Linked DNA regions of Coturnix japonica. The protein of the gene in region 1 purifies or fractionates together with the protein of each later gene. This does not show direct contact. Links are inferred from orthologs where the notes say so. Each region holds a gene or a part of one and is shown in the gene's direction. Other genes may lie near its edges.

What was found.
Region 2: the proteins of IGF2BP3 (region 1) and TRIM25 purify together in Homo sapiens (affinity purification with western blotting; 3 studies listed by BioGRID, with this or other methods). This does not show direct contact. The link is inferred for Coturnix japonica from reciprocal best matches to the Homo sapiens genes IGF2BP3 and TRIM25.
Region 3: the proteins of IGF2BP3 (region 1) and YBX1 purify together in Homo sapiens (affinity purification with mass spectrometry; 3 studies listed by BioGRID and IntAct, with this or other methods). This does not show direct contact. The link is inferred for Coturnix japonica from reciprocal best matches to the Homo sapiens genes IGF2BP3 and YBX1.
Region 4: the proteins of IGF2BP3 (region 1) and HNRNPA2B1 purify together in Homo sapiens (affinity purification with mass spectrometry; 4 studies listed by BioGRID and IntAct, with this or other methods). This does not show direct contact. The link is inferred for Coturnix japonica from reciprocal best matches to the Homo sapiens genes IGF2BP3 and HNRNPA2B1.

What each region holds. Positions count from the first base shown.
Region 1 is NC_029517.1:28,632,078-28,636,242, reverse strand, and holds the start of IGF2BP3 (insulin-like growth factor 2 mRNA-binding protein 3), read left to right. Parts: upstream 1-1,358; 5' UTR 1,359-1,797; coding exon 1,798-1,972; intron 1,973-2,805; coding exon 2,806-2,866; intron 2,867-4,165. UniProt on the Homo sapiens protein: RNA-binding factor that may recruit target transcripts to cytoplasmic protein-RNA complexes (mRNPs). This transcript 'caging' into mRNPs allows mRNA transport and transient storage.
Region 2 is NC_029533.1:7,752,689-7,757,052, forward strand, and holds the start of TRIM25 (E3 ubiquitin/ISG15 ligase TRIM25), read left to right. Parts: upstream 1-1,554; 5' UTR 1,555-1,577; coding exon 1,578-2,261; exon of another isoform or gene 2,262-2,777; coding exon 2,778-2,873; exon of another isoform or gene 2,874-3,364; coding exon 3,365-3,598; exon of another isoform or gene 3,599-4,110; coding exon 4,111-4,267; exon of another isoform or gene 4,268-4,364. Other genes in the region: COIL (coilin), read left to right, coding at 117-205, 624-713.
Region 3 is NC_029536.1:5,557,191-5,559,675, reverse strand, and holds part of YBX1 (Y-box-binding protein 1), read left to right. Parts: intron 1-1,118; coding exon 1,119-1,152; intron 1,153-1,821; coding exon 1,822-1,911; intron 1,912-2,119; coding exon 2,120-2,422; intron 2,423-2,485. UniProt on the Homo sapiens protein: DNA- and RNA-binding protein involved in various processes, such as translational repression, RNA stabilization, mRNA splicing, DNA repair and transcription regulation.
Region 4 is NC_029517.1:29,448,092-29,451,655, reverse strand, and holds part of HNRNPA2B1 (heterogeneous nuclear ribonucleoproteins A2/B1), read left to right. Parts: intron 1-1,045; coding exon 1,046-1,192; intron 1,193-2,243; coding exon 2,244-2,454; intron 2,455-2,769; coding exon 2,770-2,871; intron 2,872-2,951; coding exon 2,952-3,032; intron 3,033-3,564. UniProt on the Homo sapiens protein: Heterogeneous nuclear ribonucleoprotein (hnRNP) that associates with nascent pre-mRNAs, packaging them into hnRNP particles.

The sequences.
Region 1 (4,165 bases):
TGGGGGGGGATGTAAAGAGAATTATTTGCTCGTTTCCAACAAAACGGAAGTAGTGCTTAAATTCCGATGAGCGCAGCCCAGCCCGCTCGGTCAAGCCGACAATCCCTCCGGCTCCTCCAGCCGGCCCCGAGCTGCCTCGCTCGCCCATCCCGGTTCCTCGCGGATCCGCGGGCACTGCCGCACAATGGGAGCTCCGCGCTCTCGGCTGTGCTCGGCGCGGGAAGGCAGCACTGTGGCTTCGGGAGGGAGCGACCCCGACGCCCCCGGAGCCCCGCACGGAGCGAGGGGAACAAAGGAGCCGCCCCGTCGAGCGGTGCCCGAGTCGCGCCCCGCGTGGGAACGAGCACGGCGCGGGGGGAACGGCGGATCGCCGCGCTCCGGTCGTGCGGGGCCGCCGCGGGAGGGACGCGCCTCCGTCGGGCGCTCCGAGCCCCGCTGGCCGCCCGCACGGAGCGCGGCCCGGCTGTCGTTTCCGTCTCCGATCCCCGGCGTCGGGCGCATTCCCGAGCCCACCTCCCCCCCCCCAGCCCCCCGCCGTGCCCGCCCAGCCGAGTCGCAAACGGCTTTGGGGGGATGGGGCCGCGGCCCTTTGTGTGCCCCCGGCCCGGCCCCGGTGCCCCAAGCGAGGTCCCGCCGCGCCGCTCTGGTCCCCATCCTCCCCCACCGCCCTCCGCCCCCTTTGTCTTTTTTTTTTTTTTTTTCCTTCTCGTGTATTTTCCCCCCCTTTCCCCCCTCCTTCCCGTAACGCCCGCATCGCACAACCATTACCAGATGGGGCTCCGGAGGGGCTGCGCAGCCCCCCGCCCCATCGCAGCCCCCCAGCACGCAGCCGCGGCCGCTCCCCCCATCCCCCCATTCCCATCCTCATCCCCATCCTCCTTCTCTTCCTCCCCCCCGACCCTCCCGGCTCCTCGGGCTCTCCGCGCCGAGCCGCCGCTGCCCAATCCCCCGGCCCGGCCCGGCGGGGAGGAGCGGGGCGGGGGGCGGGCACTGCGGTGCCTTTTCCCCTCCCTCTTCGGGCCGCCACCCCTCTCGCTCGCTCCTTTTCGGGTGGCTGGGGCCCCCCCGGCGGAAGGGTAGAGGCGGGGGCAGGGCTTGCGCCCACCCGGCTCCGCGTTCCCCTTCCCCCGCCCTCTGCTCTCAACTTGTCCCGTCCCGCCCGGCTCCCCCCCGGCCTTCACCCCGACCCTCCTCCTCCTCCTCCTCATTCTCCTCCCCCTCCCTCCCCCCCCCTCCGGCTCAGCCGCTCGCTAATTGAAGAGCCGGGATTCCTCACGTGAGAAGTTGATTTGTAGTTTGAACACGTGGCTCATTCAAAAAGCCGGAATATTCAAGTAATTTTTTTTTTTCCTTCCCCTTCTTTGCCTCCCTCCCTCCATCCCTCCCCCTCCCCTCCTCTCTCTGTGTGTTTTTTTGCAGCGAGAGGCGGTGCCTGAGCGCACGTAGTGTGACATTTCCATAGTCCGCCCGCTGCTGCCGGAGGGGCTCGGGGGCAAAGACAAAAAGTACTTTTTTTCCCTCCCTCCCCTCCTCCTCTTCCTCTCTCAGCCCGCCATCGCGGCCCGGCGCCGGCTGTTCCCGCGGCCCCCCATGCGCCCGGGTGGCACGGCACGCACTTAGGGCTCCGTTCGCCTTCGTTTTCATTTTATTTTTCACCCCTCGAGAGAGGGAGGGAGGGCCGCGAGCCGCGGAGCCGATTATCCTCCCCGTCCTCTCTCTCTCTCTCCTTCCTCCATCGCGTTTTGTTTTCTCCCCACCTCCTCCCGCCAGCCGAGGGCTGCAGCCGCCGCCGGGAAGATGAACAAGCTCTACATCGGCAACCTCGGCGAGAACGTCAGCCCGCTCGATCTGGAAAGTCTCTTTAAGGACTCCAAGATCCCCTTCTCGGGCCAGTTCCTGGTTAAGTCCGGCTACGCCTTCGTGGACTGCCCCGACGAGAACTGGGCCATGAAAGCCATCGAGACTCTTTCGGGTGAGCGGCCCCGCTCCCACCCCCGACGGCCCCCGGTGCCCCCCTGCGCCCAGGTGAGACTCCCCCGGCTCGGCGGCGGCCCCCGGGGGGGGTGAGAGGGGGGAAGCGGAGGAGGGCCGTGCCCGCGGCCCCCTGCTTTTTCCACACCCCGGGGCCCATCGCGGGGGCGGGCGGCCCTCGGTGCTCACCCCCCCCCCCCCCCCCCCCTTCCCTCCCCTCGGCACCTCATCTGAGCCCGGCGCAGGCCGCGGGCTGCCCGCCGAAATGCCCCGAGCCGGGAGGTGGGAGCCCTGCCGCCCCCCCCTCTCCCCGTTCCACCCGGTATTTATTTCGGTTTCTTTTCGCCGCTCTCACGCACCCATCACCGCCTCCAGCAGCGCGCCGGTTCCCGGCCCCGACATCCTGTTTTTGTGCATTTAAAAAAAAAACCAAAAAACAAAAAACAAAAAAACCCACCAAAACCACGCAACAAAAAAACACAGCACCAAAAAAACCGCCACCACCAAAAAACCTAATCAAGACCATCATAATAAAAACAGCGAGTGAAGCCGCTTAGCGGAACCTCCGCGAACGGCGGCCCCGCCGCTCTCGGGCCGCTTTCCCCGCGTGCTCCCGGGCCGGGTCGGAGGCCCTCGGCCCCTCGTAGCCCTTCTCGCCCTCCACGCGGTTCTTCCTCGGGGGCAGCGGCCCCGCGGCCACGGCTTTGTTGCCGCCCCGCTCTGCCCCGCGGCCGATGAATGGGCTCTAACGTGTTGCGCTCCGCTCTGCTGCCTTGCGCTGCCGAGAGCCGCACGGCCCCTCTCCAATATTTTCCCTTCTGTTCTTCTCCGCAGGTAAAGTGGAGCTGCACGGAAAACTCATAGAAGTTGAGCATTCGGTGCCTAAAAGACAAAGGTAATTTCTCTTTTTGTCTCGTTGTTATTATTATTATTATTATTATTTCCCTCCGTGTTTCCCCAGTGAGAAGTGATCTGAAAAATGCATAGGCTTGGCTTTCTCTTCCTTATAGATAAAGGGGCAGCTTTCTTACAGCAGCAGCGTGCTCTGTGCTAGAATGGCCCCCCGTGTTTCTATGGATTTAATAAAATCAAATAAAAAGAAGAAAAAGAAAGAAAAAGAGCGAGGTCTTCCTGTGGAATGCTCAGCTTATTGCATTGCGGCTGGGGAGGGCTGCTGGTATTTTAAAGTTCCGTGGAGGAGTTAAAATGTGGTGTGTGAGCAGGAGCTGCAGTGAGGGGCTGTGGAGCGGCGAGCACATGAGCTCTAGCAGCACAACGCGTCGTGTAAATACGCTGCTGTGTACATCTCTCTGCTCCTGCCATGTTGGAGTCCGGAGCGTTTTATAGGCACGCGGTGCAGGGCTGTGGTTGACTATCTGTGTGCGAGAGGGTTTCTATCTCCTTCGAGCCGGTGTAGCAAAGCAGCAGGAGGGTGACTCCTTCCCAAGGAGGGCTAGATTAACGAGCCCTTAATTTCAAGATGCATGTTTAATTTTCTTTTTCAAGGTAGTAATTGAGTGGGCCTCGTGTGCGGAGGCGATACTCGCGATATGGCAGGGCGGTGTTTGTTCTGCTGCCTGTAGCAATTCGGCCACAAACGTTAGATTGCAGGGAACCTGGCGTGCTGCAGATAGTAGCAGCAAAAGGGCCGAAACTTTCCACGTGCTTGTTTCTGAGCTCCATTCTTCAGCCTGAGAAGTAGGTCTGGCCGCGGAATTTCGGGAGAGGGGCTTCTGCCCTTTCAGCCTTCATTTTAAAAGCACGGTGCTCTGAAAGTAGCTGGTTGGAAAAGGAGGATTTGGATGTAGTAATTGGGGGTGCTTTGGGAATTGAAGTTTAATCACTGCTGGGTGTTGGAGGAAATCTTTGCTTGGGGAAGGCGCGGAGGATTTTGGGTTTAGTGAAGGAGCATTTAAAAAAACAAAAACCCCAAATCTTTTCTGGCCCATTTCACGCTATGCTGATCGTTGTGGTTGCATTTGGTACTTCTTTTAATTGGGAATTAATGTACTATGTGCGCTCCTTCATTTGTTATGCAAGATACGTGGCTTTGGTTTGCAGCACTCTGTATTTTGGGTCTTCTGTACATAAAAAGCAATTGCTGTGGAGGGAACGTATTTTTAGATTTAAGGAGGAAGAGTCCATGGGACGCACGAGGATCACTTCCTCTCCATTTCCATAATAATTAGGCATA
Region 2 (4,364 bases), on another chromosome or scaffold:
AAGATCCCCACACATCCAACTGTGCTTGACCCAGCTCTATAAATACGGTAAAAATGTAAACATTTTCCTGTCTGTTTATACTAACTAAGTGGGTTTTTTTGCTGTGTTTTCAAAAGTTGCTAAAGAACCAGGGAAGTTTGATCTGGTTTATCAGTCTGCAGATGGGGCCGAGCTGATAGAATACGCTGTGCCTCAGGACACAAAGGTACGTGCCTGCCTTGTTCTGAAGGCTGCCGCGTGGTTGTGCTGACACGTTTCCCTGCTTTACAATGCTGTCCTTTTATAATGGAGCGTTTCATTAAAGTAAATGAAAGCAAAAATAATCCTTTCTAACAAGAATGGGAATTATCATGAGATAATAAACTCTTGCGTATTATTTCAGTTAATTAGACTCAGAAAGTCACCACTTTGTGTAACTTTTTGGCTCCACGAACCTCCATGAGGTTCTGGTTTTCCTACCTGCACATCAGCAGGTTAAGGCTGATGAAGATCACTGAATTGGAGCAATGATCTGTGACCTTTGTTCTGTGCTGCTGCTGTTCACATCCAAACAACTTGTGATGCAGAAGAAATTGCACCTGCCTGTACACCTTGTACGCGCTAATGTTGGATTTTGCTTCCAGATAACTGAGAGTTGGGATTCGCTGATTGAGCCCAGATTGATCGTTGAGCCTCCAATGAATGGATCAGGCACTGAAAACGGAGCAGTCTGAGATGTGAACACGAGTAAATCCTTGTGTGGACTTGTTTCATGAGATGCTGCCGTCCAGTTCTGAGGGCAGCAAATGCGCTGCTGGTTATTTTCCATAAATGGTTTTAAAATAAACACTGTTTTCTTAAGAGATGGTTTTGTGTTAATCCAAGAATGCTTTGTTTGTTATAGATTTAATGTAGGTTTGATTTATTTTTTTTAATAGAATCTTAGTTTTTATATTCTACTTTTGTGAGTGGCAAAACTGGAATAGTTTGATAGAAAATATAAATGATGACCTTGTGCTGTGTTTGTGGCTCTGCTGCTGTGTCCTGTTTTGTCTAGAGCAGCGTAACTGCTATACAGAACTTGTTGTAAGGATCATTAAAATCCAGCATTGAAAGAAAAATATATTGACGTCCATGGTTCTTTACTGCAGAGCATGACATGAATGGCCAGACCTTACAGTTCTATACAGGGTTCACCTGAAAACATCAAGAAAAGTTTAAGGATTTTATGCTTCTGTAATTTAGAGAGGAGGATAAACAGTGTTGGTGACAGAACTCAGCCTAGAACCAGCACAATACAAACGAACCCAGACAAAACGGTGTCCCAGCGTGTTCAGCCGAGTGTGCTCTGAAACCTTTACAGCCGAACCCTTTTGCCCTTTCAGTGTTGAAGTGTCAGTGCTGCCTTTGCTCAGAACAACGCAAGAAAACCGCACACACGTACTTCGCCGGCTCGGTCCGCTCCAGCGCCCGCACGGATCGCAGCTCCCCGGGACACCGCAACCCGCGCTGCTTCCCCGCCTGCCCGTCCCGCCCCGTCCGCCGCCCCCGCTGGGCTCAACCCGGGGCGGACCCGCCGCGCCCCTCGAGGCGGGGAGATGGTTCGTAATTTTACGGAAATCCGCAGCCCCAGTTTCGTTTCCTCGGGGTCTGGAGGCAGCAGCGGGATAATGGCGTCGATGAGCAGAACTAAGTCGGAGCCGAACCTGTTGGAGCTGGAGGAGGAGCTGACGTGCTCCATCTGCCTCTGCATCTTCAACGTCCCCGTGACGGTGCCCTGCGGACACAACTTCTGCGCCTCCTGCCTGGAGCTCACCTGGGCCGGCCAGGTGCGGGACTTGAGCTGCCCTCAATGCCGCGCCACCTTCCCGAGCCGCCCGCAGCTCCGCAAGAACACGGTGCTGTGCCGGGTGGTGGAGCAGATGCGGGGCAGCGGGACCGGGGACGGCAAGGAGGACGATGAGAGCGAGGAGGAAGAACGGGAGGCGGCGACCCTCATCTACTGCGACAGCTGCCTGCAGGCGGCCGCCACGCAGACCTGCCTCACCTGCATGGCTTCCTTCTGCCCCGAGCACCTGCGGCCGCACCACGACAGCCCGGCGTTCCGCGACCATCGGCTGTGCCCGCCCGTGCGGGACCTGCAGCAGAGAAAGTGCCCGCAGCACAACAAGCTCTTTGAGTTCTTCTGCAGCCAGCACGGCTGCTGCATCTGCTCGCTGTGCCTGCTGAGCCACAAGCCGTGCCACACCAGCACGCTGCAGGAGGCCAAAGATAAAACCGAGGTGAGAACGGGGCAGCCCCGAGCTGAGCTCCCTGCAGACACTCCCTGGGGCGATCTGCCCAGATACCGGGATTAACTTAAGACAGCCCCTCTGACTTCGCTTAGCAGCATTCCTCAGATGCGATCCAATCATATCTGAGAACAAAAATCCTCTGTCACAACGAGGGGTGAACAGCAGTATTTACCCAGTGCCCGAAGTCCAGGCTAAGAGCTAAAGCAAAGTTTATTTGCAGCGCTGGGAGCTGCTCCGCTGATGAAAGAGTTCTCCTTATCAGCAGTGACTCAAGGACGCCCATCTTGCTTTTGGAAAGGTGTGGCTATGGGGGTGCTGACCCCACAAACTGTGTGCGTGCACGACAGCACTGCTAAAGGAGCAATGGGTTTTAAACGGGTGGTACTGAATGCTTACAGTGGTTATCAACAACTCCCTACTGTGATTCTTACTCCAGTAACCATGACCCGACTGACAGCATGGCAACGCCTTTTCTAAGCTGCTCTCTGCTCTCCTCTTTTGCAGGCTGCACTGAAGAAGAGGCTGGTGGAGCTGCACAACCAGAGTGAAAGATCCGTGCAAGCAATGAACTCTGTGAAAACAATCCAGAGTCAAGCTGCTGTAAGTTACAGCGCTGTTTGCTTGGTGTGTGCTGGCTCCTGAATGTTGTTTGTGCTCTTGTGGCAGTCCTTGTACTGAAACTGCCTTGTCAGGAAGAAATCTCACTGAGAAGGATCAGAAAAGAGCCGTTTTGGCAGCTCCCTAAGGATGGGAACAAACACAGCCTCCTTACAGGGGTGGTTCGCACCCACACGGGAGTAACTGAGATGAACCCATCCATTCCCACTGCAGCACAGATTGTGCATCTGTGCAGCCCAACCTAAAGCAGCAGTGAGTAGCAACGGCTGCACTACAGCAGAAATGTGGGAGAGCTCTTTTCCACAAGTGAGCACAGCTCAGCCCTGCTCTCACCTGATGGCCGGGGTTGGTGTGTGTGCTGAGAGCTTTTCTATTGCCAGTTGTGAGTAATTGGAGTTTACATGCCCACAGTAGCAGCGCTTTCCCCCTAACTTGGTTTGAAGCCAGTTTCTGCCTTTTTGTGTCTGCTCCAGGAGACAGCTGCCAGAAAGCGGGATCTGCTGAGAGCTGAGTTTATGGAAATTAAAGCTTTAATTGAAGAAAAAGAAAACCAGACCCTAAAAGTAGTTATGGAAGAAGAAAAAAGAGTTTGCAATAAGTTCGATTACATATATAAAATTCTGGGAAGTAAGAAGAATGAAATTCAGTCTCTGAGAGACCAGATTGAGATGGCACTGACCGAAGGGGATGACGTTCTCTTTTTAAAGGTAACGTGTCCTTTAGGTTCAAATCTGATTCTTTGGGGTTTTAGAATATAGATTCATAAAGAACTGCCCTGGTCGTCCTGCTTTCCAAATCCTTTTAGTCAAATGATAAAGCAGTCACATGCAAGAACCTCCTATAACAAGATGTACTGATAAATACACAAACACGAGTGAAAGAGCACTGGAACAAAGTGCTGTCTGCGATTCCACCTCTCCCCAGTTCTGCCACTATTTCTGCTGTGTGCAGAAAGGCCACTGAGGGAGAGAACTCGTCTCCATGAGGAGGAGTTACATCTCTGTGCTGCGAGGCAGAGCTTTCTTATTGCTCCAGGTATCAGGAAGTAACGCTTATGTGCTGCTGAGCTGCTGCTGAAATTGTGCCACGGCTTTGCCTGATTGTCACCTGTGCTCTTTTGCATTTGAGATAAATGCCCAAAACTCAGCCCATTTAAGGTCACCTGCTTGTATTTCTCACACAAGATGGTCTGCATGAGATTTTCCGTTTCTCATTTCAGAGAGCAGCAGCGCTGCAACGAACATCAATAAAAGAGGCCTTTGTCCCAGTAATAGAAATGGACCACAACATGATACACGCTGCTTATCAGTCTGCCATTAACCTTAAAGATGCTGTCAAACTTGCAGTGAATGCGTCTGTGGATAAAAGAACGGATGGTATTGTATCACTGTGGGAACCGGCGTTTTATGCCTCAGCTTTGAGCTCAAATGAGAGAGATTCCCCCTCCAATCCAAACATAAAAACTAGAGCAGA
Region 3 (2,485 bases), on another chromosome or scaffold:
CGTTTACTGAGCCAGAGCTCCAGCATGATCTTCAATGGGAAATGTGATGTAGAAAGGGCTCTAAATGAAATGAGGAGCAGCTGATGTGCTTGGAGGAATGGGGTTTGGGAGGAGTGCAGAGCATCCACACTTGAAGAGCTCTGCATTTGTTGGGAGCACAGTGAGCACTGACTGAATGCAGGCGCTGGGCTTCCCTCAAGGCCCTCAGCTGGAACATCTATGATCTCATGTTGTGTTTGTAAGAGTTTTAGGCTTTTTAAGAGCTTCTGGGTGCTGCCTGGTGGGGCTGGGGCTGAGCTGATCACCTTCTGTAGCCCTTTGGATGAACTGTTTTCCGTCAGCTCTGAGGTCAGTAGTTCTTGCAGGCGTCAGTTCCATAAGGAAATGGGTGTGTGGTGCTGGTACTGTGTGACGGGGCAGCTGTAACTTGGATCGAGTTGTTCACAGTATTGTTATTGCCGTGTGTTAAAGGCACGGGGAGGAGTGACTGGCTTTAAATGAGTCCAGTTCTGAGCACTGCAGCACTAGCTGTGCCTATAACATGTATTCTAGGAAATAAAAGGCATTCAGCAGTTGATTCATTGGGCTGTGGAATGACTTGAAGTGACACTGCAGCAAGGCTCAGCTGGTGTGATGTGAGCCTGAGGGCTCACAGCTTGTGAGCGGTGAGCACAGCTCCGGGGCTGTGCTGTGTAACTGTGGAGCAGGAAGCTCCCTGTGCCCTGCTTGTCTGTTAGCCACGCTGCTGCCCTCATAGAGCATTCATCACTGCAGGAAATGGAGCTGGGGACGCAGGCTGTGTGTGCTGCTTTTCATAGCCTGTGATGTCACATCTTCCACTGTGCTATCCCAACTGATGGGCTGTCAGGTGTTTTTCCTCCGAGCCTGTTGGTGGGATATGTGGGGAGGGAGGAAAACACTCAGCACCTCACACAGGTCCCCAACAAGGTCTTTCTTTGAGGCAGCCTCCCCTTAGAGCAGGCTGAGCAGTGCAGAGCTGACAGCTACTTGTCCCGGTGCTCCCCTGCTTTCCCCTCACCCCTAAACAACTGAATTTGAAGCTGGGCCCTCACGCAGCTTGTCTCACATCTGAATTTCTCTTTGGTGCTGTCTTGCAGGAATGACACCAAGGAAGATGTGTTTGTCCATCAGGTAAGATGGGCTGGGAACTGAAACGTGTTACCTCTTTGATACGCGCTGTGCATGACCTCAGCCAAATGGGTTGGAGGGGACAAGGGTTTCCTGTCTCCCTAAAATCACTGCTTACGTGCTGAAACTTGTGACATCTCTTATGATGGATTTTATTCCATTTAGGGAACAAATGGACCCACGTTATGTTGCTGGCATTAATTTGTTACTGGCATTAAACTTGTTAAAAAGTTTGCTGAGTAGAACGTGGCTGAGAATGGTGCTTATAGAGCACGTGCTCAGCTGTCAGAAATGCAGTATGCTGCTGAACAGCACAGGAAATAACCCCAAATAACTATTTTAGTCAATGCATACACCTGATAGGAATGTACAGAGTGCTTAGAGAGAAACTTCTGATGCAGCTTGCATTGTTTGGGGGCTATTTTGTATCTCTGACTGGAATCGTATGGGCAGATAGTCCTGGAACAGCTGTAAGGCTGCACAGTGCTCTGGGTAGGTCAGAGCAGTAATAAAGCACACACTGGCTTTGAGTTCCCATTGTGGCTTAATGACTTGTCCAGGAGGATGTCTTAATAAATAGATTCAGTCCCCCCAAAACACCAACACAAACTTGAGATGCACTGAGTAGCGTTTTCCTGTTGTGAATGTAACTGTGCCATATTATGTTGTCAGACTGCCATAAAGAAGAATAACCCCAGGAAGTACCTCCGCAGCGTAGGAGATGGAGAGACCGTGGAGTTTGATGTGGTTGAAGGAGAGAAGGTAAATGCGTCTGGGCTGTTGGAGCATGCATTGAACTGCAGGTCTGCGGGCTTTGCTGTGGTGTTGTGGTTTGAGCAGTTGCCTGACGACATCCAGGGAGATGAATGGTTGCTCATTGCTTTACAAATGGGGATGCAAATCGGTGCTGGGTGCTGAATCACACCGGTTTGGTGCTCACTGCTTGCTTAATGCTCTCCCTGCTCCTCAGGGTGCGGAGGCAGCGAATGTGACAGGGCCTGGTGGCGTTCCAGTGCAAGGCAGCAAATACGCAGCAGACCGTAACCATTACAGACGATATCCGCGTCGCAGGGGTCCTCCACGCAACTACCAGCAAAACTACCAGAACAGTGAGAGTGGGGAGAAGAACGAAGGAGCAGAGAACATCCCGGAAGGCCAAGCCCAGCAGCGCCGTCCCTACCGCAGGCGGCGGTACCCACCTTACTACATGCGTAGGCCCTACGGGCGTCGACCACAATATTCCAACCCTCCCGTGCAGGGAGAGATAGTGGAGGTAACGCATGTGGTGTGGGTCCTGTGGAGCAGGGCGATAAAACGCAGCTCTGCGGATGCTCGA
Region 4 (3,564 bases), about 820 kb from region 1:
TGTAGTTGGTTCATGCTTATCAGGCCTTCAAAGCTATATGCAGATTTCCTCTAGAACACTGCTGATAAATTGTTGATAAATACAGCTTGTTTCTTGTAAAATTGCTCAGATTATTTCTTAACTGCTGATTACAGCTGTTCAAAATTAACTTGGGTGTCACTGCTTCCAATGCATTAGGGAGAGCCAAGTGCATCAGCATCTGTGTAACCAGTAACCTTTGGAAGAAAGCTTCTGCTTTGGTTAACAGCTTTGTTGAAGCTAGAGATGGGCGGCTTTCTGCAGCCTGTGATTTTTGTATACTTCAGAGTTATCAAGGTTGGAAAAGACCTAGAAGATCCTCTAGTCCAACCATTGCCAATACTTCCCAGCTAAATCATGTTCATCAACACAACATCCAAACGTTTCTTGAACACTCCCATGGTCGGTGACTCCACCACCTCCCTGGGCAGTGCATTCCAATGCCTGACTACCCTTTCCGAGAAGTAATACTTCCTAATGTCCAGCCTGAATCTCCCCTGGCGCAGCTTAAAACCATTCCCTCTAGTTCTATCACTGATTACACGAGAGAAGAGGCCAACCCCCAGCTCACTACAGCCTCCCTTCAGGAAGTTATAGAGAGCTATAAGGTCTCCCCTAAGCCTCCTCTTCTCCAGACTGAACAATCCTAGCTCCCTCAGCTGCTCCTCATAAGGCCTGTGCTCCAGACCCCTCACAGTGCAGAGAGGAACAGTAAATATGTATTTCATAACCTGCATTTAAAGAGTGTAGTCTTCAGAGAGGTAGAAACAAATGTTTGATTTTTAGAGAAAGATACATGTATATAGACATGAATCATTGCAACTGAGTGCTTTCGGAGTTACTGGTAAGGTATTAGGGGACTATAGTACTCTGAATTTCTCTGATGCCATGTGGATGCTGCTTACGTATTTGGTCAGTATTGCTTGCTGCTTTACATGTAACTATTTAAATTAGGTTCTCCAAATGTTGCTGTTCAGTTTTAACATGAGACACGTAGAAGTGATTTAAATTTGTTCACCGTTTTTAGGTAATGCGGGATCCTGCAAGCAAAAGATCAAGGGGGTTTGGTTTTGTGACATTCTCCTCGATGGCCGAAGTTGATGCAGCCATGGCTGCGAGACCTCACACAATTGATGGAAGGGTGGTGGAGCCCAAGAGAGCTGTGGCTAGAGAGGTAAGCATAGGACTGAGAGTGGATACTTTCCATGCTTTGAGAGACTACTCTGTTTTGCTTATGCATTTATACTTCAATTTGTCTCTGTTTAAATTCAGTGAAAGGGTGTGTTTGGGACACCGTTTCCACATTTTTAGTCTGTTCGTGGACTGTTGGGAACTGTACTTTCCTTCCAATGGTGATGATCAAAATCAGCGTAAGATTAGTCATGTTTCTGCTCCTTGCATATTTGATCTTATAATCCAAGCTATACATTAGATGGGCATACAGTCATACAGTATAGCTGAGTTACTGTAGCACTGACATATTTGAGCAGGTTAATTCATGTTCTTTGCATTGTTGGAGCTCTGGGAGGGTTTAACCACTTCAAGCACAAGGTCTGACCCAAATTTCTAATGTTTTTGGATTGATAAAAAGCAACTGAATAAGGAGTTTTATGGTGATTTCCATTTTCCATCACCTAGAAGTGGTACCCTTGTTAGCAGTCCCAGTTTTCATTCAGTTTCCAGAAGAATGCAGTGTTGATTAGCACTTGCGAAAACATAAGAAAGCAGGGCATGTGCACACTGTTTATACACACAGAGCTATTACCAGGCATTAGGGATAAATCCTTCCTACCTAGTGCAGCTCCTTAAATGTTACACTCAAAACACATGGGAGTTTTTGTTTGTTATTAAGGAGTTGTTCAAGCAGTTGGTCTCTAAATTTGTTTTTATTTACTTTTATACATTTTATTATATATCATAGAAGCACAGAAAAGCTTGGGTTGGAAGGGACTTAAAGGATCATCAAGCTCTAACCCTGCTGCCATAGGCAGGGCCACCAACCTCCATATCCAATAGTAAACCAGGCTGCCCAGGGCCCCATCCAGGCTGGGTTTGGGGAGGACATCTATTACCCCTTCCACCCCATAAAGAGGTTTTATGGACATGCACTGAAAGAAGTCAACCTCAGGATTTGAAAACCTTAGTATTCCATTCTTGAAATCCTGAAAGAAAATTATGAACTAAATTGCTTTTCTTTGAGGTAATTTGGAGAATTCTTTTAATAGGAATCTGGAAAACCTGGTGCTCATGTTACTGTGAAAAAACTATTTGTTGGTGGTATTAAAGAGGACACCGAGGAGCACCACCTTCGTGACTACTTCGAGGAATATGGAAAAATTGACACTATTGAAATCATTACTGACAGACAGTCTGGTAAAAAGAGAGGGTTTGGGTTTGTTACATTTGACGACCATGATCCTGTGGATAAAATTGTATGTAAGTAATCTTCATCTCACTGCTTTGTTTTGATAATGTTGATGCTTGCAGTCATGGTACGTGTGTGAAGTTAAATTTAAAATAGGTAGGTAATAGGAATACTTAAGTGAATGTAATATGATAGTTATAGTGAATTGTGGGGAATGGGTATTTTAAATAATCAATGAAATGTATTCCGGTATGTATAATTTTTAAGATAACAGTAGGGAGTGTGTATGGGACCGTTAGGGAATGACTGCATTTTTGGTAGCTTAAGATTCGTGTCACCAGATCAGCACTTAAATGCTCACCATGTTTTGTTCTGTGTGCTCACAGTGCAGAAGTATCACACCATTAATGGCCACAATGCAGAAGTAAGGAAAGCCCTCTCTAGACAGGAAATGCAGGAAGTCCAAAATTCTCGGAGTGGGAGAGGAGGTACGTGCAGTTAATGCCTCTCAGTTTGTTTTTGTGTGCTTTGCATGGTTTTGCTGCTTACAAATGTTACATTGTTACAGGGAACTTCGGTTTTGGTGATGCCCGTGGAGGTGGTGGCAACTTTGGACCAGGACCTGGCAGCAATTTCAGAGGGGGAGCTGGTAAGACAGGCAATTTTGTTGGTTGGTTGGTTTACATCATCCTTCAGGTTCTGCGTAATAGTAAATTACTACTATTGAATTGAAATGCATCTGTAAGAGCTAAAGAATTTTTGGGAAAGATAACTTGCGAACCTTTTGCATAGTACACAAATCAATGAGGTAGCAGTTCAGAAAACTTAAGTGGTTTAATATTTAAAAGATTCTGTTACGAGCTGAAATTGATTTTGGTGAGAAATTCACCTACTGCTTCTCTGTAGTTAGGTGCAGAGCTCAGGAGCTCTGCAGTGAGGGGTTTCTTTCTTGAACATCTGAATTACATACAAGCAAACCGGGTTAGCTACATTCAAAACTAACCCAGTACTTTACAAATGCAGGAAAGTAGGTGGTGTAAAGGAATCATAGATCAATGTTTTTTTTTCATGTACATTCTATCCAAATTCAAGTTTGTGTACTTTATCAGTCTGTGAGATTTGCATCTTAAGGTCGTATGGTTTAGATAAAAATTAGTTTGCTTCAGGTGAATTGAAATGCA